3 linked regions of the Anolis sagrei genome follow. The protein of the gene in region 3 interacts with the protein of the main gene of each other region in a pairwise test. Links are inferred from orthologs where the notes say so. Each region holds a gene or a part of one and is shown on either strand. Other genes may lie near its edges. The genes, in order: PLXNB3, PLXNB1 and ARHGEF11.

What was found.
Region 1: the proteins of ARHGEF11 (region 3) and PLXNB3 interact in a two-hybrid assay, tested with the Homo sapiens proteins (2 studies listed by BioGRID and IntAct). The link is inferred for Anolis sagrei from reciprocal best matches to the Homo sapiens genes ARHGEF11 and PLXNB3.
Region 2: the proteins of ARHGEF11 (region 3) and PLXNB1 interact in a two-hybrid assay, tested with the Homo sapiens proteins (2 studies listed by BioGRID). The link is inferred for Anolis sagrei from reciprocal best matches to the Homo sapiens genes ARHGEF11 and PLXNB1.

Annotation. Positions count from the first base shown.
Region 1 is NC_090022.1:178,016,138-178,023,949, forward strand, and holds the start of PLXNB3 (plexin-B3), read left to right. Parts: upstream 1-4,710; 5' UTR 4,711-4,863; coding exon 4,864-4,868; intron 4,869-5,070; coding exon 5,071-5,152; intron 5,153-7,812. UniProt on the Homo sapiens protein: Receptor for SEMA5A that plays a role in axon guidance, invasive growth and cell migration. Stimulates neurite outgrowth and mediates Ca(2+)/Mg(2+)-dependent cell aggregation.
Region 2 is NC_090022.1:26,208,167-26,215,139, forward strand, and holds the start of PLXNB1 (plexin-B1), read left to right. Parts: upstream 1-3,922; 5' UTR 3,923-3,960; intron 3,961-6,973. UniProt on the Homo sapiens protein: Receptor for SEMA4D. Plays a role in GABAergic synapse development. Mediates SEMA4A- and SEMA4D-dependent inhibitory synapse development. Plays a role in RHOA activation and subsequent changes of the actin cytoskeleton.
Region 3 is NC_090032.1:11,723,671-11,731,286, reverse strand, and holds the start of ARHGEF11 (rho guanine nucleotide exchange factor 11), read right to left. Parts: upstream 3,080-7,616; 5' UTR 1,897-3,079; coding exon 1,862-1,896; intron 1-1,861. UniProt on the Homo sapiens protein: May play a role in the regulation of RhoA GTPase by guanine nucleotide-binding alpha-12 (GNA12) and alpha-13 (GNA13). Acts as guanine nucleotide exchange factor (GEF) for RhoA GTPase and may act as GTPase-activating protein (GAP) for GNA12 and GNA13.

The sequences.
Region 1 (7,812 bases), on a different chromosome or scaffold from region 3:
CAATCTAAGTCTGAAACGACTTGAAAGCATACCACAACAACAACAATCCTATCACATCAGTCAAAGGCCCCCGGTGGCGCAGTGGGTTAAAGCCCTGTGCTGGCAGGACTGAAGACCGTCAGGTCGCAGGTTCAAATCTGGGGAGAGGCGGAGGAGCTCCCTCTATCAGCTCCAGCTCCTCATGCGGGGACATGAGAGAAGCCTCCCACAAGGATGATAAAAACATCAAATCATCCAGGCGTCCCCTGGGCAACGTCCTTGCAGACGGCCAATTCTCTCACACGAGAAGCGAATTGCAGTTTCTCAAGTCGCTCCTGACACGACAAAAAAAAAAAAAAGTCAAAAGCAGGGCCACACTTCCCATTGAAATACTAATAAGTTTATATTTGTTAAAATTGTTCTTCATTTTAATTATTGTATTGCTTTTAAGTGTTTTTTGCACTACAAATAATATATGTGCAGTGTGCATATGAATTCACTCATGTTTTTTTTCAAATTATAATCCGGCCCTCCAACAGTTTGAGGGATTGCGACCTGGCCCTCTGTTTAAAAAGTTTGAGGACCCCTGGACTAGATGAAGCAACACCTTGAACTGGGGGGGGGGGGTCAAACTCATTTTCATCAGGGCCCACGCCAGCCTTATGGTTGCCTTCAAAGGGCTGTTGAGTCCATGGATGGAGAATTATACAGAGGGCCAACTATATTTTTTTTAACCCAGTGGTTGATGCTCTTTAGTTTTAGCCCAGTTTGGGTCCCCAGATGTTATTGAACAATAACTCTCTTAACTTTTGATTATCTCCCATGCAGCCTGGGGATAATGGGAATTGCAACATAAGAGCACTTTGGCTCTGAGCTTTGGGAAAGTTTGAAGGTCATTTCAAAATCAGACATTGTATCCACAAGCCTTGTATCTGAATTCAAACACCACTATGCTGAGTAAATAGAACAAACTCCAGCTTCCCAGATGTTAGCTCTAGTCATGATGTGTAATGATGAGGAGTTGCAGTCCAGCATTTGGAGAGCCGCATAAAAGGACATGGTGGGCCAGATTCGGCCTACAGGTCTTGAATTTGACACCTATATCTTAAACTCTTGATTCTTTTCTGTGTGTGTGTCTAGCTATATACATATGCAGTATTCCTGGTTTTCTCTCTAAGAACCTCTTTACCAGTGGTTCTCAACCTTCCTAATGCCACGACCCCTTAATACAGTTTCTCATGCTGTGGTGACCCCCAACCATTAAATTATTTTCATTGCTACTTCATAATTGTGGTTTTGCTAATGTTATGAATCGTTATGTAAATATCTGATATGCAGGATGTATTTTCATTCACTGGACCAAATTTGCCACAAATACATGGTTAGCTCAAATTTGAACGTACCAACTCCACCAACGATGGAATTGAACCAAATTTGGCACACAGAACTCCCATGACTGACAGAAAATACTGGAAGGGTTTGGTGGTCATTGACTTTGAGTTTTGGAGTTGTAGTTCACCTACATCCAGAGAGCACTGTGGACTCAAACAATGATGGATCTGGACCAAACTTGGCATGAATACTCAATTTGCCCAAATGCGAATACTGGTGGAGTTTGGGGAAAATAGGCCTTGACATTTGGGTGTTGTAGTTGCTGATTTTTATAGTTCACCTACAATCAAATAGCTTTCTGTACTCCACCAATGAGAGAACAAACTTCCCACACCGACCAAAAGAAAATACTATGTTTTCTAGTTGTCTTGGCAACCCCTCTGACGCTCCCCTTGTGACCCCCCCAGGGGTCCCGACCCCCAGGTTGAGAAATGCTGATTTAGTGCCTGAATTTATTGCAGTGTGTGCATGCATGTCTTTGTGTGGCACACCAAGGTCCAAACTATGGCAAAATTCTTTCAAACAAAGCCTACTGGAGTGAGATGGACTTCCCCATTTGTTGGGTCTCACTGATTAGGGGCCCATTCATACTACACAATCATAGTACTATGATTTCACTTTGACTGCCAGAATAACAATCTATGGCAGTGGTTCTCAACCTCTGGGTCCCCAGATGTTTTGGCCTCAACTCCCAGAAATCCTAACAGCTGGTAAACTGGATTTCTGGGAGTTGAGGCCAAAATACCTGGGGACCCACAGGCTGAGAACCACTGATCTATGGTATCCTGGAATCTGTAGATTGGGAAGAGATGGCGTCCTGGTCTGATTCTGAGCACAAAGATTTGAATCTTGGCCATGGAAACCCACTGGGTGACCTTGGACAAGTCACACTCTTTCATCCCCAGAGGAAAACAAAGGCAAACCTTCCTATGATCAAATCTTGGCAAGAAAACCCTGCAATAGGTTTGCCTTTAGAGTTGCCATGCAACCTGAAGACGCACAACAAGAGGCTCTGACCAAACTATCAAACTCAAGTTACACATGGCAGTTCAAGTGGATTCACTGTGTTGCAATCAGAGGGTGTGCAGAGACTCCTTAGTTTCTTACCCTACTACCACTATGTAGTTTTCTCACTTTGGAACTGATTCTGAAGCCCATCTTGGAACTATTACTGTTTTTGGACTATAACTGGTGATGGAACTTGGGAATTTGGGGGATCTAAAAGAGACATTTTCTTAAGCTCTGTTCAGGAACATGAGCGACAGCAGGACTGACTGTGCAAACCTCTGAACAGCTTTTGAGCTGACTATGCAATGAGGCTTCTGTTGGCTGGGCAGGTGACGGCACTCAGTGCCAATCTGCAGATGTCCGGCTAATCCTCGCTAACACCTCTCTTCCAACCTCAATCCCTGGAAGCAGCCCTCTTCCACGCAATTATTATATCCTCCCAACACTAGCAATTCCATTAAAACCCCATCGACCCTTCTCTGCAAGAAGCCGCAGAATCTGGGGCATTTGGCATGAGCAGAGACAGGCACGATATTTCCCATATGGGAGTGGGAGCAAGATTAATATTGTTGCCAACCAAGGGGGTGATGGCAAGAATTAGGGATGAGGGGAGAGGCTAGAAACAGAGAAGCAGAAAGTAAACATATTGTGTGTATATGTAAATATATAGTTCTAAGCCCTCCATACTTCCAGATTTGTCTTCTACAGGTTTGAATTCTGTGGATTTTATTAAAATATTGTCTCCTGGAGCTGAAGTTCTCCACTGTAATTAGATGATCAACTACTGCGAAAAGTTGATTGTAGAGTAATGCTGGGGATCTACAGCATCATTTCCCAACATTGTGGTCGTGACCCGGGGGGGGGGGGGGGTTTCAGGAGAAGGTGTCAGAGGGGTTGCCAAAGACCATCAGAAAACACGGTATTTCCTGTTGGTCATGGGCGTTCTGTGTAGGAAGTTTGGTACAATTCCATCGTTGGTAGGATTCAGAATGCTCTTTGATTGTAGGTAAATTATAAATCCCAGCAACTACAACTCCCAAATGTCAAGGCCTATTTTCCCCAAACTCCACCAGTATTCGCATTTGGGCATATTGAGTATTCATGCCAAGTTTGGTCCATACCCATCATTGCTTGAGTCCACAGTGCTCTCTGGATGTAGGTGAACTACATCTCCAAAACTCAAGGTCAATGCCCACCAAACCCTTCCAGTATTTTCTGTTAGTCATGGGAGTTCTGTTTGCCAAATTTGGTTCAATTCCATCATTGCTGGAGTTCAGAATGCGCTTTGATTGTAGGTGAACTATAAATCCCAGCAAGTACAGCTCCCAAACTGGAGCCCCTGGTGGCACAGTGCTTGTTGAACAAAAGATCATAGGTTCGAAGCTGAGCTTGTTGAACAAAAGATCACAGGTTTGAAGCTGAGCTTGTTGAACAAAAGATCACAGGTTTGAATCTGGGGGGTGGCGTGAGCTTCTGCTGTCAGCCCCAGCTTCTGCCAACCTAGCAGTTCGAAAACATGCAAATGTGAGTAGATCAATAGGTACTGCTCCGGTGGGAAGGTAACTGCACTCCATGCAGTCATGCTGGCCACATGACCTTGGAGGTGTCTATGGACAACGCCAGCTCTTCAGCTTAGAAATTGAGATGAGCACCACACCCCAGAGTTGGACATGAAGTCCAACTCCAGAGTTGGACTTAATGTCAGGGGAAAATCTTTACCTTTATCTTACAACTCCCAAATGATAAAATCATCCGGCCTCAACCCCACAAGTATTCAGATTTGGGCGGATCGGATATTTGTGCCAAATTTGGTCCAGTGAATGAAAATACATCCTGCATATCCGATATTTACGTAACAGTAGCAAAATTACAGTGGTGAAGTGGCAACGTGAATAATGTTATGGTTGGGGGTCACCACAACAGGAGGAACTGTATTAAGGGGTCTTGGCATTAGGAGGCTTGAGAAATCCTAAATTTTAGGAGTCTGAGCCAGGAGGAAAGCCGAAACAGGTTTTGAAAACAAACTTCAAATTTGGGAATGAGTCTGTAAATCTTTTGTGTTTTGCACTTTGGCTTGTTTTTGCCTTGCTTTAAAATGCCTTGAGTTCAAAAATACAGAGTTCCAAAGGACCCCCTGAGCTCCCAGGAAACCAGGCACGGCCACACCCACATTTCTGCCCATCTCTTTTTCTTTCTGCCCCTTCCATTAATCAATAACGCCATGCAAACAAATGACAAGGGCTTCCTCTGTTCCCCACCCTGGGGCGAGACACAAGTCCTGACCTGTCCATTTCTCCTGCTGCTTCAGCCTCTGTCCCGACACCCGTCTGATCAGCTGATGCCCTGGCTGGCTTGCAATAGCTGCCTTCTTCTTTCTCCTCTCTCTCTCTCTCTCTGGCAGTGGCCTTCATTCTTCACCCACAACCTCCCCATTCCCTCCACCCCGTGTTCATTTTCTCTGGGGTGCCAGGGTCATGTGTCTCAATGCTGTGAGAGCTCTATTGCTGTGGGATAAAGGGCCCCTTGAGCCCCCGTGTGGCTCTGTGATGGCACAGCCGAGAGGGGAACAGTGGGGGCTTTGATGGGAGGGGGGACGCTGATCACAGCAGCCATTGATACAGCCTTGAATTGCCATCTAACCCCAGCCCCCCTCCATATCAACTCACACACTGCCTTATCGCTTTCTTCTAGGGATGTCCGCGGAGCCCTACGGCTGCTGCCACTGCCTGACGTTACCATGCGGGAGCTGAAATGTGCTCAGCGTGGCCAGCGGGTAAGTGCAGGGAAGCGATACGCGCGTGGGACCAAAATGGGATTGAACGGTGGAGATCGGAGCCTGCCGGCGGTTGCAACTCCTGAGTCTGAATCCGATATCGGTCCCAAATAGAGGAAATAATTGCATCCGTTAAACTTACACACATATTGGGCGACTCAGTTGTCATTTAATCAGTGAGTGTATTCTAGTTTGGACTAACAGTGGGATTTCAGTCCGGGATTCCTTCTCTGGGAGGAAAAGGTGGGCTGGCATGTTGTGAAGTAAAGTTAGTATTGGAAAGATCCAGTTCTCTTCGGTGACATCTTTCTCTGTCAGATACTATTTGTGATACAAACATTAGTATCACAGAATAAATTCTTGCAAAATGTATTGTCGAAGGCTTTCATGGCTGGAATCACTAGGTTCTTGTGGGTTTTTTCGGGCTATAGAGCCATGTCCTAGAGGCATTTCTCCTGACGTTTCGCCTGCATCTATGGCAAGCATCCTCAGAGGTAGTGCAAAATGCCTTCAGAAGCACTTTATTTTACCTGTTAGTGCAGTCAAACCCTACTTTATCCTCCGTATCCCCTGTCCAGATATATTACACTGCTGTCTCACCCAGTGTTTTAATTTTTTTATTCTATTGTAACCGTCCCTGCCCACTGTGATCGATTGCGATTTACTTTGTTTGATGTGTTATTTATAATGGTTTTTGCATTGAATTTTTATTTTCTTTATATTTTATTGCTGTGTTCTGTTGTATATTGATGTATTGTATTGCTGGGCTTGGCCTCATGTAAGCTGCCCCGAGTCCCCTTGGAGAGATGGTGGCGGGGTATAAATAAAGTATTATTATTATTATTATTATTATTATTATTATTACTAGCTGCCCCTGCCACACGTTGCTGTGGCCCAGTCTGTGTATATGTGTTTTGTGTACCTTTTCAAATGTACCTTTTTCATTGCTATCTCATTTTATGTCGTTCATTTGGCCCGCCCACTGTGTTCAATTTTCCATTATGTTATTTTGTACTGTTTATTTACTTTATTGGTTTATTTATTTTAACTGTGATGTTATTTTGCTGTTTATGTTGTTGTAATGTATCATTGGGCTTGGCGAGTCCCCTTTGGAGAGAAGGTGGCGTGGTATAAAGTTTATTATTATTATTATTATTATTATTATTATTAATGTATTTTTTGGGTTTTTTGTCATTTTGAGTCCCTTCTGCTGTGTTTTTCAATGTTTTTATGAGTGATGGTCACTCATTGGCCTGATGGGTGTCTTGTGTCCAAATTTGGTGTCAATTCATCCAGTGGTTTTTGAGTTATGTTAACCCCACAAACGAACATTACATTTTTATTTATATAGATTACTAGCTGTACCTGCCACGCGTTGCTGTGGCCAACCTTCCCTCTTTCTCTCCTTCTTTCCCTCCTTCCTTCACTCCCTCTTTCCTTCCTTCCTTCCCATCTTTCCTTCTCTATCTCTTTCCTTCCTTCCCCCTTTTTCTTTCTCTTCTGCTGTCTCTCCTTCCTTTTTCTCTTTCCTTCCTTCTTTCCCTTCCTCTTTCTCTACATCTTCCCCCTTCCTTCGCTCCCTCTTTCTGTTTTTTCTTTCTTTCTCTCCTTCCTTCCTTCTCTAACTTTCCTTCCTCTTTTTTCCCTCCCTCTTTCTCTCCTTTCTTCCTCCTCTACCTCTCTCCTTCCTTCTGTCTTTGCTTCCATGCTTCCTTCTCCCTTTCCTTCTTTCTTTCTTTCTTTCTTTCTTTCCCTCCCTCGTTTCTTTCTTTTTTTTCTTTCTTTCTTGCTTTCTTTCTTTTCTCCCCTCCCTCTTTCTTCCTTTTTCTGTATTATCATTTAGCTTTTGGGGGCTTTTAAAGTCCCTTCTGCGTTTTTCAGTGTTTTTATGAGTGAAGGACATACATTGGGTTGTTAGGTGTCTTGTGTCCAAATTTGGTGTCCATTCCCCCAGTGGTTTTTGAGTTCTGTTAATCCCACAAACGAACATTACATTTTTATTTATATAGATTATTATATCGAAGCACATGCTTTGGTAACATTCTGTGACGTTATAATTCCTGAGTGTCCATATGTGTGTCTCACTCTCATTCAGCACATATAATTTCCAGTTGGCAGACAATATGACTTCCAGTTGGCAGACAATATTTCTTCTCGGACTTTGTGATCCCCTTGTTACTATATTTCGTAATGTAATAGAAGAGATCTGGATGATTCAAAGAGATCTCCAGATCTCTTCAAATAGAAGAGATCTGGATGATTCAAAAGCTCGCCCATGTTGTGAGGCTTTTATTTAGCCGAAACACTAACAAAGATGTTGGAATTCTTTTTTCCTTCTTCAGACAACTAACTCTGCTTTAGGTTGCTTCCATGCGAAGTGAGTATATTGGAACTGGCGTCCCGCACACGCATATGTTTCCATTCCCCTGGAAATGTACGCGGGAGAGGGGCGCCTTTTGTCTCCTTCGCAGCCCCACCCCTTTGCCATTGTCTGTGAATGCGTCTCGCGCACCTTCCCCAGGGAGGTGTGTGTTTGCATGAAGGAGAGTGCGTATATGTATGGTGGTGATGTTACTACGCTGCTGCCTCTGCTCCCTTCCAGCTGTGGCCAGAAGGCAAGAAATGGGGGCAGGGTCTCCTGGAAGCCCCTGTGGTCCCTG
Region 2 (6,973 bases), on a different chromosome or scaffold from region 3:
ACATGACTGGACTTCATGTCAGGGGGAAACTTTTACATATGTGTGTGTGTGTGTGTGTGTGTGTGTATACACACACACACACACACATAATATATATAGGCCCTCTGGGTCCAAAGATTCTCTGTCCATGGATTCAATGCCCCTTTGAAGGCAACCCTAAGGCTGATGTGCTCCTCGATGAAAATGAGTTCAACACCCCTGACTTACCCACTTTCATCATTTAACTGGAAATGGGAAAACAACAAAAAAAACTTCAGCCATCCCTTTCCTTTGAAATGGGAAAACAACAAAAACCTTCAGCCATACCCTTTCATCCTCAACCTTTGAAACATCTCTCCCACAGTGAAGCAAAGGGTGGCCAGTTTCAGGAAACCCCTTGGTCATAACCATGAAGGAACTCGCACTACAAAGAGCTCTATTTAGCAATCCAAGGCCACTGCTACAAAGTAGAGGAGCCCACAAGTGTTGTTGAGGCTTGGCTTTATTAGCATGGCATACGCCAGTTTCCGAATGCTTCCTAGAAATAAATTTGACATCCGCTCATGGGCTCTGAATATTAATTGAACAGTGGTTTTCTTTCAAACTTAGCAACACTTTGGGCTTTGAGGAAACTGGAAACAATTGCCTGTAAAAACTTATCCCGGAATTGTGGTTTCTTTAGAAGCTCCTTTTGCAAATTGGGGCTGGAGGAAGCGGGGTTTTACTGAGCTGTTTCTTTGGGCTAGTAAGGTCATTACGGCCTTGTGACTGAGGCCACTATTAGCCAAGGTCAAAGAATGTCCTTCTTTTGCATTTCACTCCCCAAAAGCCAACTTTGTGGATAGAAACCCTCTTTCTGGTCTTCCAGCAAAACTTGGGGCATGAAAAAGGAATCCCTAGAGATTCTTGGAATACAGCTATAGTCTTGCCTCTTGTTGTTTTTCTCAGCAGCTTTGCACAAAAAAAAAGGACTATTGAACCAATTCAAGCGCTCTCTGGTTCCCAGGTACCCGTAATGAGGAAACTAATTTCCATGTTCAATTTGGGAGAGCAAGCTGGACGGGGGACTTTTTGTAGTTGCTGGAAAGCTGCCTGACCTCTGGAAAGTTTTCAGCCACCTCCTCCTTGCCTTTTCGGATAGAAACCACTCTTTCGCTGCTAGCCAAGAGAGCCCCGATGCCAGCTTACATTCATCTTGTGAACCAGCAGGGGGAATCACTGGCACCAAACCAGCGGCAGGACATTTCTCAAATTAGAGCTCACTCCGACACCCACAGCCCTGCAATGTGTCTGCAGTTTTCACAGAGCTTGTTGGCGATACAGTTATAAGTAACATGGCCACTGTGATTGGAAGAGAAAGAGGTGAATGAATATGTAAGAAAAGGACATTTATAAAGTACCACAACAACATAGTGTTTGGGCGTAATGAGTAGTATTTTCTAGCTGCCTTTTCAAAAAAGTGATGAAGACAGTCTGGGGATCTGTGAAATGACAGGCAGCTACAGCAGGGTATGCCCATGCATCCCCATAATGCTCAGTGCTCGGCCTTTTCAAATCCTCCCCTTATGATATTTTCAAGTCATTTGTGGTTGAATCCATAGATGCATAATCCATAAATATAAATTTATGTATTTATTTATTTTTAAAAAGGTAAAGGTTTTCCCCTGACATTAAGTCCAGCCGTGTCTGACTCTGGGAGTTGGTGCTCATTTCCATTTCGAAGTCGACGAGCCAGCATTGTCCATAGACTCCTCCAAGGTCATGACTGCATTGAGTGCTGTTACCTTCCTGCTCGTGCATTACCTATTGATCTACTCACATCTGCATGTTTTCAAACTGCTAGGTTGGAAGAAGCTGGAAACTCACGCCGCTCCCTGGATTAAAAACTGCTTCGGTCAACAAGTTTAACCCACCGGGGGGGGGGGGGGGGGGGGTGTCCCACTTCATTTATTTATTTATTTGTTTGTTTGTTTAATGTATTTATTTACCACTCTTCTCAACCCTGGGAGGACTACAACATACTAGTGGCAAAATTCAAAGCCAGACATACATGTAAAAATTAAAAATATCTCAACAATAATTTTTTTTCATGTCAGCCCCCCATGGGTTATACTCTTGTGCCGGCAGGACTGCTGACCGACAGATCAGCCATTCGAATCCGGGAAGAGCAGCTTGAGCTACCTCTGTCAGCTCCAGTTCCCTTTATAGGAAGGATGGTAAAACATCAAAAACATCTGGGCGTCCCCTGGGCAATGTCCTTGCAGATGGCCTATTCTCTCACACCAGAAGCGACAACAATAACATATTCCCAGAATAACATATAACTATGTGTTAAAATAAATTAAGACCATTAAACATAACACATACACAACATTTAGATATAGCATTAAAACATCCTAGTATAAACTTTAAAATCACATGATCAAAATCATAAACCGTAGCCATTCCAAGTTGTCAATTGCACATGTTCCCCAATTAGTCTTAAACTGCATTATTTTACTGGCCAAAGGCTTGGTCCCACAACCATGTCTTTCTGAAAACCAAGATGGAGCGCACTGATCTTATCTCAGTGGGGAGAGAGTTTCACAGCTGAGGAACCACCACTGAGAAGACCCTGTCTCTCCCCACCACACTTGCAAAGGAGGTGGGACCAAGAGCAGAGCCTCTCCACAGAAGATCTTAACCTCCATGATGGTTCATAGAGGGAGATAGATTCAGACAAGCAGAGCCGGAACAGTTTAGGGCTTTATAGGCTAAAGCCAGCACTTTGACTTGTGCTCAGTAGCAAACTGACAGCCAGTTGAGCTGACGCAACAGGGGGAATTGTATGTTCCCTGTACACCGCTCCGGTGAGAAATCTGGCTGCCGCTCAGGGACACTTGAAGCTTCCAAACAGTCTTCAAAGGCAACCCCATGTAGAGCGCATTGCAGTAGTCTATTCTCCATGTAACAAGAGCATGGACCACCATGTCCAAGTCTGACTTCACAAGCTACAGGCGTAACTGGCTGGCGCACAAGTTTTAATTGTGCAAAAGCTCCCCTGGTCACCATTGAAACCTGGGAACCTGTAACCCCAACCAGCACAGACTGTAACCCTATACCCAGTTCATCCTTGCGACTGACCAGAAGTGTCTATGTCAATTTCAATTTCTTCGCCCTCATCCAGACTAAAAAAGCTAACCTTTTTACAGAACCATGATTCTTTACCTTTGTCCGCAGTTTCATCTGGAGTTATTTGCATGTTGCTGTTCTCCTGTTCATGCTGTAAAAACTATTCTGATTTTCAACCCAAATGGGCAACCAGCTTGGTGATGATGTCACTTCATATGTTTACTTTTGCTCACCTCTGGGATGCTCCAGGAGACTTAAAAACTTCTCCCCTTCCTTAAGCTTAAGTGGCTGAGGGGGGAAAAGGAAGGGGCCTGAGGCTGTTAGGAATTGTGGGAGTTGGAGTCCAAAAAATCTGGAGGGACCAAGTCCAAAACATTTAGAGGGGCCAAGTTTGCCCGTGCCAGGTTTAAACTGTATTTTGAAAATCCTCATAAATAAGGAATTGAGAACCCATCCCCTTAGCCACTGAGCCCGCTCTCCTTTCCCACCTCTGCTCCTTTTCTCAGCCTCTCCCAGTTTTCTCTGGGGTGAAGCTGCATTCTGGGCCCAGGCCTGGCAGCCAATGAATGGACCACACTGTTTGGGAATGAATGCTCTGAGCTGTGACAGACAGGCACTTGCTCTCAGTGAAAGCCCTGTCTTTACGCTGCTCCAAAGACATGGAACATACAAACACAGTTCTCCACTCCAGACCAAGATTGGGACAGGAAGAAAAGGCTACTTTTTTCCCAACCTTTCTTTTTAATGTGGCCCCCACTCTCCTCTCCTCTCCCCTCCGCCCCTCCCCTCCCTGTCCTTTAAATGAAGCTTGCAAGGGGACTCTGTACCAGGCTGAATGGGCTGCAGGCAAGGATTGGCTCCGGAGGAGAGGTACAAAGGGGATTAGTGTTTAAAAGTCATGAATGGATCAGAGCAAGGCAAGAAGTGTGTTTTTGGCTCCGTCTCCTAGTTACCAGTTTGGGATTTGGGTGGGAGAAAAAACTCTGCCCAAGTCTGGGAGCAGAGAAAATGTTTGTGTGACCGTGGCAGGCCAAAGAAAGTCCTCTGCTGTGAGATCAGTTTGTGTAATTTGGATCTCTCTTTTCTTTCCCTTGTGAGGGAATGGAAAGCCGGAAAAAAGGGCTTGAGTGAGTGCCTTTGCTATTTCGCTTGCATGTGTGGTGTTCTAAACGGAGATGGGACACCTTTGCGTTTATAGTGCAATCCTTTGTGACCTAGTTTTACCCACTCAACATATTTGACTGGGGTGCTTCTGTACAAAAGGCTTTTCCAGCTAGCCTTTTGTTATTTTTTGCTAGCTTGGATACCCAGCGTTGCCCAGGTTATTGGAAAAAGTCATTTTTTAAATTCTACAAAATGCATAAAGTCATGCCAGGTTAACCCCAAGAAACTCCATCAGTACTTAAAGTTTGTTATGTTGGTCAAGTTTGCTCTAGATATATCATCAGTGGGGTTTGGTGTGCTCTCTGGCTACTACAACTCCTACTATCGTGAGTCAGCCCCCTTAAACCCCTCCAGTAGGTTGAGTTAATCATAGGGGATCTGTGTGCCAAGTTTGGAACAGGTCTATCATCGGTGGAGGTCACAGTTTCTCTGGTTGTGGGTGAACTACAAATCCCAGAAAGGAAGGTCAGTTCCCCCTAAACCCCTGCAGTAATCAAGTTTCAGCATATCAGGTATGTGTGCCAAGTTTGGTCCAGATCCCTCAGTGTTTGGTTCAGATCCATTGATGTTTGGGTTCACAATGCTCTCTGGATGTAGGTGAACTACAAGTCCCCTAAATGAAGTTGTATTTTTCCCAAAGACCTCCAGTGGGTTTTTTTTTTGTTTTGGTTTTTTTGCTAGCCATGGGGGTTCTGTGTGCCAAGTGTGGTCCAATTCCATCTTTGGTGGAGTGCAGAATGCTAATTGATTGTAGGTTAACTATAAATCCCAGTACCTACAACTCCAAAATATCCAGGCCAATTTCCCGCAAAACCCAGCACCACCCCTCAGAGTAGGACACGACTTACTCTGTCAAGGGGAAACCTTTATCTATTTATTCCAAAGCAAGGGGGAACCTTTACCTATTTATTCCAAAGCAAATTGCTGTACTCTCCAATCGTCAAGTGTTCTTCCTCATTAAATAAGTTTGCCATCTTGATCACACTGTGATGTTGGTCGCCTTGGTAGATGATCTTCGCAGGGAACTGGACAGGGGGAGTGTGTCCCTGTTAGTTCTGCTGGACCTCTCAGCGGCTTTCGATACCGTCGATCACGGTATCCTTCTGGGTCGCCTCATGGATATGGGGCTCGGGGGCACCGCTTTACAGTGGCTCCGATCCTTCCTTGAGGGACGGACCCAGAAGGTGTTATTGGGTGACACCTGTTCGGCCCCACAACCGTTGTTGTGTGGAGTCCCACAGGGTTCAATTTTGTCCCCGATGTTATTTAACATCTATATGAAGCCGTTGGGAGAGATCATTCGGAGTTTCGGAATGAGATGTTATCTCTACGCAGATGATGTCCAAATCTGTCACTCCTTCCCACCTGTCACCAAGGAGGCTGTCCAGACCTTGAACCGGTGTTTAGCCGCTGTATCGGACTGAGAGCTAACAAATTGAAATTGAATCCAGACAAGACAGAGGTCCTACTGGTCAGTCGTAAGGCCGAACAGGGTATAGGGTTACAGCCTGTGTTAGATGGGGTTACACTCCCCCTGAAGACGCAGGTTCGCAGCTTGGGAGTGATCCTGGACTCATCGCTGAGCCTGGAACCCCAGGTCTCAGCGGTGGCCGGGAGAGCTTTCGCACAATTAAAACTTGTGCGCCAGCTGCGCCCGTACCTTGAGAAGCCAGATCTGGCCACGGTGGTCCACGCTCTTGTCACATCCCGGCTGGATTACTGCAACGCACTCTACGTGGGGTTGCCTTTGAAGACTGCTCGGAAACTACAATTAGTCCAGCGAGAAGCAGCCAGATTGCTCACTGGAGCGGCGTACAGGGAGCATACAACCCCCTGTTGCGTCAGCTCCACTGGCTGCCGATCCAATTCCAAGTACAATTCAAAGTGCTGGTTTTGACCTACAAAACCCTATACGGTTCCGGCCCAGTGTATTTGTCCGAACGGATCTCCCTCTACGTCCCACCTCGAAGCTTAAGATCTTCTGGGGAGGCCCTGCTCTCGACCCCGCCACTGTCACAAGTGAGGCTGGCGGGGACGAGGAGTAGGGCCTTCTCAGTGGTGGCCCCCCACCTGTGGAACTCACTCCCCGGGGAGATTAGATCGTCATCTTCCCTTTTGGCGTTTAGGAAAAAACTGAAGACCTGGATCTGGGATCAAGCCTTTGGTCATTCTGACAGCTAACTGAAGGATCTGATGTTAGACAAGGACAAATGGAATGGAATGGATATATGGACTCTGAACCCTGAGCATGAGACTGTTTTATTGTTTTTATTATGTACTGATGTTTTTAATTAATTGTTGAATTGTTTGTATTTGTATTGTTTGTGAATTGCCTTGGGCATCTAATTGTGCCCCCATTGTAAGCCGCCCTGAGTCCCCCTCGGGGTGAGAAGGGCGGGGTATAAGTAAATGAAATAAATAAATAAATAAATAAATAAATAAAATTGTTGGCTACACATGTCCTGACGTCTTGTGTGAAATGTTCAAAAGGATGCACAATGGTGTCACCAGGGTTGGTCTCAACCAGTGTGGGAACACACTTTGTCATATCCATGGACTTCCTCCCACAGCAGACCACATCACAATACTACAGATGAAATACCAGAAAAATGGAGAAAATTAGCTTCTCTAAAAACAATCAGCAACAAAAACAACAGTTCAAGCTTATAGCGCCTGCAGATGAAACAATGTAATTTGAAGCATGTCTATAAATGGGCCT
Region 3 (7,616 bases):
GGAGCTGGAGCTGATTCAAGGAGCTCATCCGTGCTCTCCCCAGATTTGAACCAGCCGGGTTTAACCCACTGTGCCATCGGGGGCTCCTTAATGGGCCAGCTAACACCTCCCAACAGAGGATTCCCTCAAGCAGTAGCCAGCCAGGCTTTGAAGCTGCAAGGCCATTCAATGCTAATCAAAGTGATCAATTGCAGCATTCACACTTACCTCAATCAGACAAGAGTTCTTTCTCCCACTCTGGACATTTTTCCAAATCTCACTTGCCTAGTTTCCAACAGACCCTTAAACCTCTGAGGATACCTGCCATAGATGTGGGAGAAACATCAGGAGAGAATGCTTCTGGAACATGGCCACACAGCCCGGAAAAGTCACAACAACCCAGTGATTCCAGCCATGAAAACTTTGACAACTCAAGAAAAAACCGAAAGGAAAAAGTGACAAGTGGCACGGAGTTCAATTACTTCATGACATCTTTCCGTGTGGAACGGACCCAAAAAAAGTATTTCTCAGAGAAAGAGGGAGAGACAAGGGACGCCAAGTCGTATGACCATTACCAATGCCTTCCTTGAGCAAAGGCCAAAAAACCTGGACATCGCCTCCGCATATACACACATAGGCCGACGCTGGCCCATTCATCCATTGGCCAAAGAAACCGAGGAAAGAAAGACAATGTGTTGTCGAAGGCTTTTCATGGCCGGAATCACTAGGTTGCTGTGAGTTTTCCGGGCTGTCTGGCCATGTTCCAGAAGCACTCTCTCCTGACGTTTCACCCACATCTATGGCAGGCATCCTCAGACGTTATGGGTAGGAGGAAGAATTCTTGTCTTTTTGAGGCAAGTGTGAATGCTGCAACTGATCACCTTGATTAGCAATGAATGGCTTTGCAGCTTCAAAGCCTGGCTGGTTACTGCTTAGGGGAATCCTTTGTAGGGAGGTGTTAGCTGGCTCATTAAATGCTAATCAAGATGACAAATTGCAACAGGGGAATTCCAGGCAAGAAACAATCAGGGCCAGCTAACACCTCCCAACAAAGGATTCCCCACAAAATCACAAGTCGAACACTTCCCAAGCGTCTAGGACTGTATGATGTATTTACAAATGATGTGTGGAGATCCAAGTCAGGTGGCTTTTTGCAGTTGACAGATTGTGGTGATATTATTATTATTATGGGACATGGCTGTACAGAAAACTCACAGCAACCCAGTGATTCTGGCCAGGAATGCCTTCAACAACAGACCTCACAGCCTCTGAGGATGCCTGCCATAGATGTAGGTGGAACGTCAGGAGAGAATGCTTCTGGGACATGGCTGTACAGCCCGGAAAACTCACAGCAACCCAGCGATTCGGGCCATGAAAGCCTTCAACAACAGACCTCACAGCCTCTGAGGATGCCTGCCATAGATGTGGGAGAAACATCAGGAAAGAATGCTTCTGGGACATGGCTGTACAGCCCAGAAAACTTACAGCAACCCAATGATTCTGGGCAGGAAGGCCTTCAACAACAGACCTCACAGCCTCTGAGGATGCCTGTCATAGATGTGGGAGAAACATCAGGAGAGAATGCTTCTGGGACATGGCTGTACAGCCTGGAAAACTCACAGCAACCCAGTGATTCCGGCCAGGAATGCCTTCAACAACAGACCTCACAGCCTCTGAGGATGCCTGCCATAGATGTAGGTGGAACGTCAGGAGAGGATGCCTGCCATAGATGTGGATGAAACATCAGGAGAGAATGCTTCTGGGACATGGCTGTACAGCCCGGAAAACTCACAGCAAACCAGTGATTCCGGCCATGAAAGCCTACAACAACAAACCATTTTTGGTAAGCAAAGGAAGAGCTAAACCTGTCTATTTGACATACCTGTCCAATGCAGTCTGAGGTGGCCGCATGTTCATGGTTTGTAGTCAAATCCAGAAGGCCGGGGTTGGCCAGCGGTGGATCCTTTGGCTGCTTGCACGCCTTTTTCCTTTGCGCAGATGCGGATTTTTATTACCAATCCTAACCACAAAGGAGGAAAACTAGTCTCTTGCAGTCAAGACGGCGGAGCCTTTGAGTCCATCCTTATATCCATGCAGCGTTCCAGGCTTTGGGAAAGTGGTTGCCCCAAAAAATAAAATAAAAAATACAAATAACTTTGCAAACCTTGTCCAAGGTTATCAATTCTGGGCCTTGGGGAAGTGGTTGCCCCCAAAAATAAAAATACAAACAACTCTGCAAACTTTGTCCAAGGTTATAAATACTACCCGGTGGAATAAAGACGCGTTCCCGTCCAAAACATTAAAGTCATAGGGATCAAAACATCCTAATAATCCAGTTTTCCCAGCTGTCCTTCCTGTTGGAAGAGGGAAGGGGGGACAATGGAAAAGATCTGTATTCCTGGGTCTCTCTCTGTGTTTGTGTGTCTTCAGGTTGCCAAAAAGATGCCCAATTTCACTCTCAAGCAGCCTCCCTTGTCCTTCCTTTGGGCTAATAAATAAAAAGCCATGCAACAAATCACTCCCAAGGAAAGAAAAGCAAAATACACATCATAATAATCATCATAATATTAATATTAATAATAATAAGGTAATTGCAAACTTCTTTTCCTGCCAAGGCAGGTACAGGATAGAGGACTAAGGGGAATCAATGAAGGGCTGAGCAGAGGACAGTGATACCCCCTCCTCCTCCTCTTCTTCTTCTTCTTCCAAAGCCCCAAGATGTCCTCCAAAGCGGTGGGTCCTTCCCCTTCTTCTTCTCCTCCTCCTCCTCTTGCTCCAGCTTGGCTTCGGGGTCCGAGGAAGAAGAAGGTCCTCCTTCTTCACCTTCCTCCTCCTCCTTTTCCCCTTCCCCAGTGAGGGAAATCCAAGGAGAGGCCTAGCGGGAGCGGCGAAGCCCCGGCCTCGCGTAGGGAGGCTCCCCGACCTTCCTCGGCTCCGGGAGGGGAAGCAGCACCGGTCTGGGAAAGGAGAGCCGAACCCGCAAGTGGCTTGGCTCCTAGGCCCGCCTGCCTGCCTGTTTTGCCTGCCCTTCGGTCCTTCTCCTCTCCTTCCTCCTCTTCCTCCTCCTTCTTCCCAGATAATCCCTCCCACAGCCGCCCTCCTCCTCCTCCTCTTTTCCTCCTCCTCCTCCTCCTCCCGCCCTCAGGAAGAGCTTCCCTGGCTCTGCAGCAGCAGCAGGTGGGAGGGAAGGAAGGGAGGAAGGAAGGAAGGAAGGAAGAGGGAGGCATCCCCACCATCATCCTCATCATCACCATCATCATCACCTTCATAAGGCATTTGCTGCCCTTCTCCTTTGCCTTCTCAACCCCCCATTTGAATGTATTAGTTGCCATCCTCCTCCTCATCAAGCCCCTGGAAGGTTCAGTATTGGTTGCCATCATCCTCATCATCAAACCCCTTGAATGATTCCTTCATGGCCATCTTCACCACCATCATCCTCATCATCAAACCTCTTCATACCATCATCATCATCATTATTATCATTATCAAGCCCCTTGAATGAGAACTTCATGGCCATCTTCACCACCATCCTCCTCCTCATCAAACCTCTTCGTACCACCATCATCATTATCATCTTCACCACCATCCTCCTCCTCATCAAACCTCTTCGTACCACCATCATCATTATCATCTTCACCACCATCCTCCTCCTCATCAAACCTCTTCGTACCACCATCATCATTATCATCATCATCATCATCATCAAGCCCCTTGAATGAGAATTCCATGGCCATCTTCACCACCATCATCCTCATCATCAAACCTCTTCGTACCATCATCATCATTATCATCATCATCATCATCAAGCCCCTTGAATGAGAACTTCATGGCCATCTTCACCTCCATCATCCTCATCAAACCTCTTCGTACCATCATCATCATTATTATCATCATCAAACCCCTTCGTACCATCATCATCATTATTATCATCATCAAGCCCCTTGAATGAGAACTTCATGGCCATCTTCACCACCATCATCCCCATCATCAAACCTCTTCGTACCATCATCATCATTATCATCATCATGAAGCCCCTTGAATGAGAACTTCATGGCCATGTTTACCACCATCATCCTTATCATCAAACCCCTTGAATGCATTAGCTACCATCCTCACCACCACCATCATCCTCATCATCAAACCCCTTGAATGCATTAGCTACCATCCTCACCATCACCATCATCCTCATCATCAAGCCCCTTGAATGATTCCTTCATGGCCATCTTCACCACCATCATCCTCATCATCAAACCTCTTCATACCATCATCATCATCATCATTATGATCATCATCAAGCCCCTTGAATGAGAACTTCATGACCATCTTCACCACCATCATCCTCATCATCAAACCCCTTTGTACCATCATCATCATTATTATCATCATCAAGTCCCTTGAATGATTCCTTCATGGCCATCTTCACCACTATCAGCCTCATCATCAAACCCTTTGAATGTATTAGCTACCATCCTCACCACCACCATCATCCTCATCATCAAACCCCTTGAATGATTCCTTCATGGCCATCTTCACCACCATCATCCCCATCATCAAACCTCTTCGTACCATCATCATCATTATCATCATCATCAAGCCTCTTGAATGAGAACTTCATGGCCATCTTCACCACTATCAGCATCATCATCAAACCCCTTGAATGTATTAGCTACCATCCTCACCATCACCATCATCCTCATCATCATATCCCTTGAATGATTCCTTCATGGCCATCTTCACCACCATCATCCCCATCATCAAACCTCTTCGTACCATCATCATCATTATCATCATCATCAATCCCCTTGAATGAGAACTTCATGGCCATCTTCACCACCATCATCCCCATCATCAAACCTCTTCGTACCATCATCATCATTATCATCATCATCATCAAGCCCCTTGAATGAGAACTTCATGGCCACCTTCACCACCATCATCCCCATCATCAAACCTCTTCGTACCATCATCATTATTATCATCATCATCAAGCCCCTTGAATGAGAACTTCATGGCCATCTTCACCACCATCATCCCCATCATCAAACCTCTTCGTACCATCATCATCATTATCATCATCATCAATCCCCTTGAATGAGAACTTCATGGCCATCTTCACCACCATCATCCCCATCATCAAACCTCTTCGTACCATCATCATCATTATCATCATCATCATCAAGCCCCTTGAATGAGAACTTCATGGCCACCTTCACCACCATCATCCCCATCATCAAACCTCTTCGTACCATCATCATTATTATCATCATCATCAAGCCCCTTGAATGAGAACTTCATGGCCACCTTCACCACCATCATCCCCATCATCAAACCTCTTCGTACCATCATCATCATTATTATCATCATCAAGCCCCTTCATGGCCATCTTCACCACCATCATCCTCATCATCAAACCCCTTGGTGCCATCCTCATCGTCATCATTATCATCATCATCAAGGCCCTTGAATGAGAACTTCATGGCCATCTTCACCACCATCATCCTCATCATCAAACCCCTTCGTACCATCATCATCAGTATCATCATCATCATCAAGCCCCTTGAATGAAACTTCATGGCCATCTTCACCACTATCAGCCTCATCATCAAACCTCTTCGTACCATCATCATCATTATCATCATCATCAAGCCCCTTGAATGATTCCTTCATGGCCATCTTCACCACCATCATCCTCATCATCAAACCCCTTCGTACCATCATCATCAGTATCATCATCATCATCAAGCCCCTTGAATGAAACTTCATGGCCATCTTCACCACTATCAGCCTCATCATCAAACCTCTTCGTACCATCATCATCATTATCATTATCATCATCATCAAGCCCCTTGAATGATTCCTTCATGGCCATCTTCACCACCATCATCCTCATGATCAAAACACCTTGGAGCCACACCCCCTCCCCCCACCATCATCATCAAGCCCCTAGAATGAGAACTTCATGGCCATCTTCGCCACCATCATCCTTATCATCAAACCCCTTGGTGCCATCCTCATCGTCATCATTATCATCATCATCAAGGCCCTTGAATGATTCCTTCATGGCCATCTTCACCACCATCATCCTCATAATCAAACCCCTTCGTACCATCATCATCATTATTATCATCATCGAGCCCCTTGAATGAGAACGTCATGGCTATCTTCACTACCATGATCCTCATCATCAAACCCCTTGAATGCATTAGCTACCAACCCCACCACCACCATCATCCTCATGATCCCCTTCATACCACCATCATCATTATCATCATCATCATCATCAAGCCCCTTGAATGAGAATTCCATGGCCATCTTCACCACCATCATCCTCATCATCAAACCCCTTGAATTATTCCTTCATGGTCATCTTCACCACCATCACCCTCCTCATCAAACCTCTTCGTACCATCATTATCATTATCATCATCATCATCATCAAATCTCTTCGTACCATCATCATTATTATCATCATCAAGCCCCTTGAATGATTCCTTCATGGTATCTTCACCACCATCCTCCTCCTCATCAAACCTCTTCGTACCATCATCATCATTATCATCATCATCAAGCCCCTTGAATGAGAACTTCATGGCCATCTTCACCACTCTCAGCCTCATCATCAAACCCCTTGAATGTATTAGCTACCATCCTCACCACCACCATCATTCTCATCATCAAACCCCTTGAATGATTCCTTCATGGCCATCTTCACCACCATCATCCCCATCATCAAACCTCTTCGTACCATCATCATCATTATCATCATCATCAAGCCCCTTGAATGAGAACTTCATGGCCATCTTCACCACCATCAAACCTCTTCGTACCATCATCATCATTATCATCATCATCAAGCCCCTTGAATGAGAACTTCATGGCCATCTTCACCACCATCATCCCCATCATCAAACCTCTTCGTACCATCATCATCATTATCATCATCATCAAGCCCCTTGAATGAGAACTTCATGGCCATCTTCACCACTATCAGCCTCATCATCAAACCCCTTGAATGTATTAGCTACCATCCTCACCATCACCATCATCCTCATCATCAAGCCCCTTGAATGATTCCTTCATGGCCATCTTCACTGCCATCATTCTCATCATCAAACCCCTTGGTGCCATCCCCACCACCACCATTATCATCATCATAATCAATCCCCTTGAATGATTCCTTCATGGCCATCTTCACCACCATCATCCCCATCATCAAACCTCTTCGTGCCATCATCATCATTATCATCATCATCAAGCCCCTTGAATGAGAACTTCATGGCCATCTTCACCACCATCATCCCCATCATCAAACCCCTTGAATGTATTAGCTACCATCCTCACCATCACCATCATCCTCATCATCAAGCCCCTTGAATGATTCCTTCATGGCCATCTTCACTGCCATCATTCTCATCATCAAACCCCTTGGTGCCATCCCCACCACCACCATTATCATCATCATAATCAATCCCCTTGAATGATTCCTCCATGGCCATCTTCACCACCATCATCCCCATCATCAAACCTCTTCGTGCCATCATCATCATTATCATCATCATCAAGCCCCTTGAATGAGAACTTCATGGCCATCTTCACCACCATCATCCTTATCAAATCCCTTGGTGCAATCTTCATCA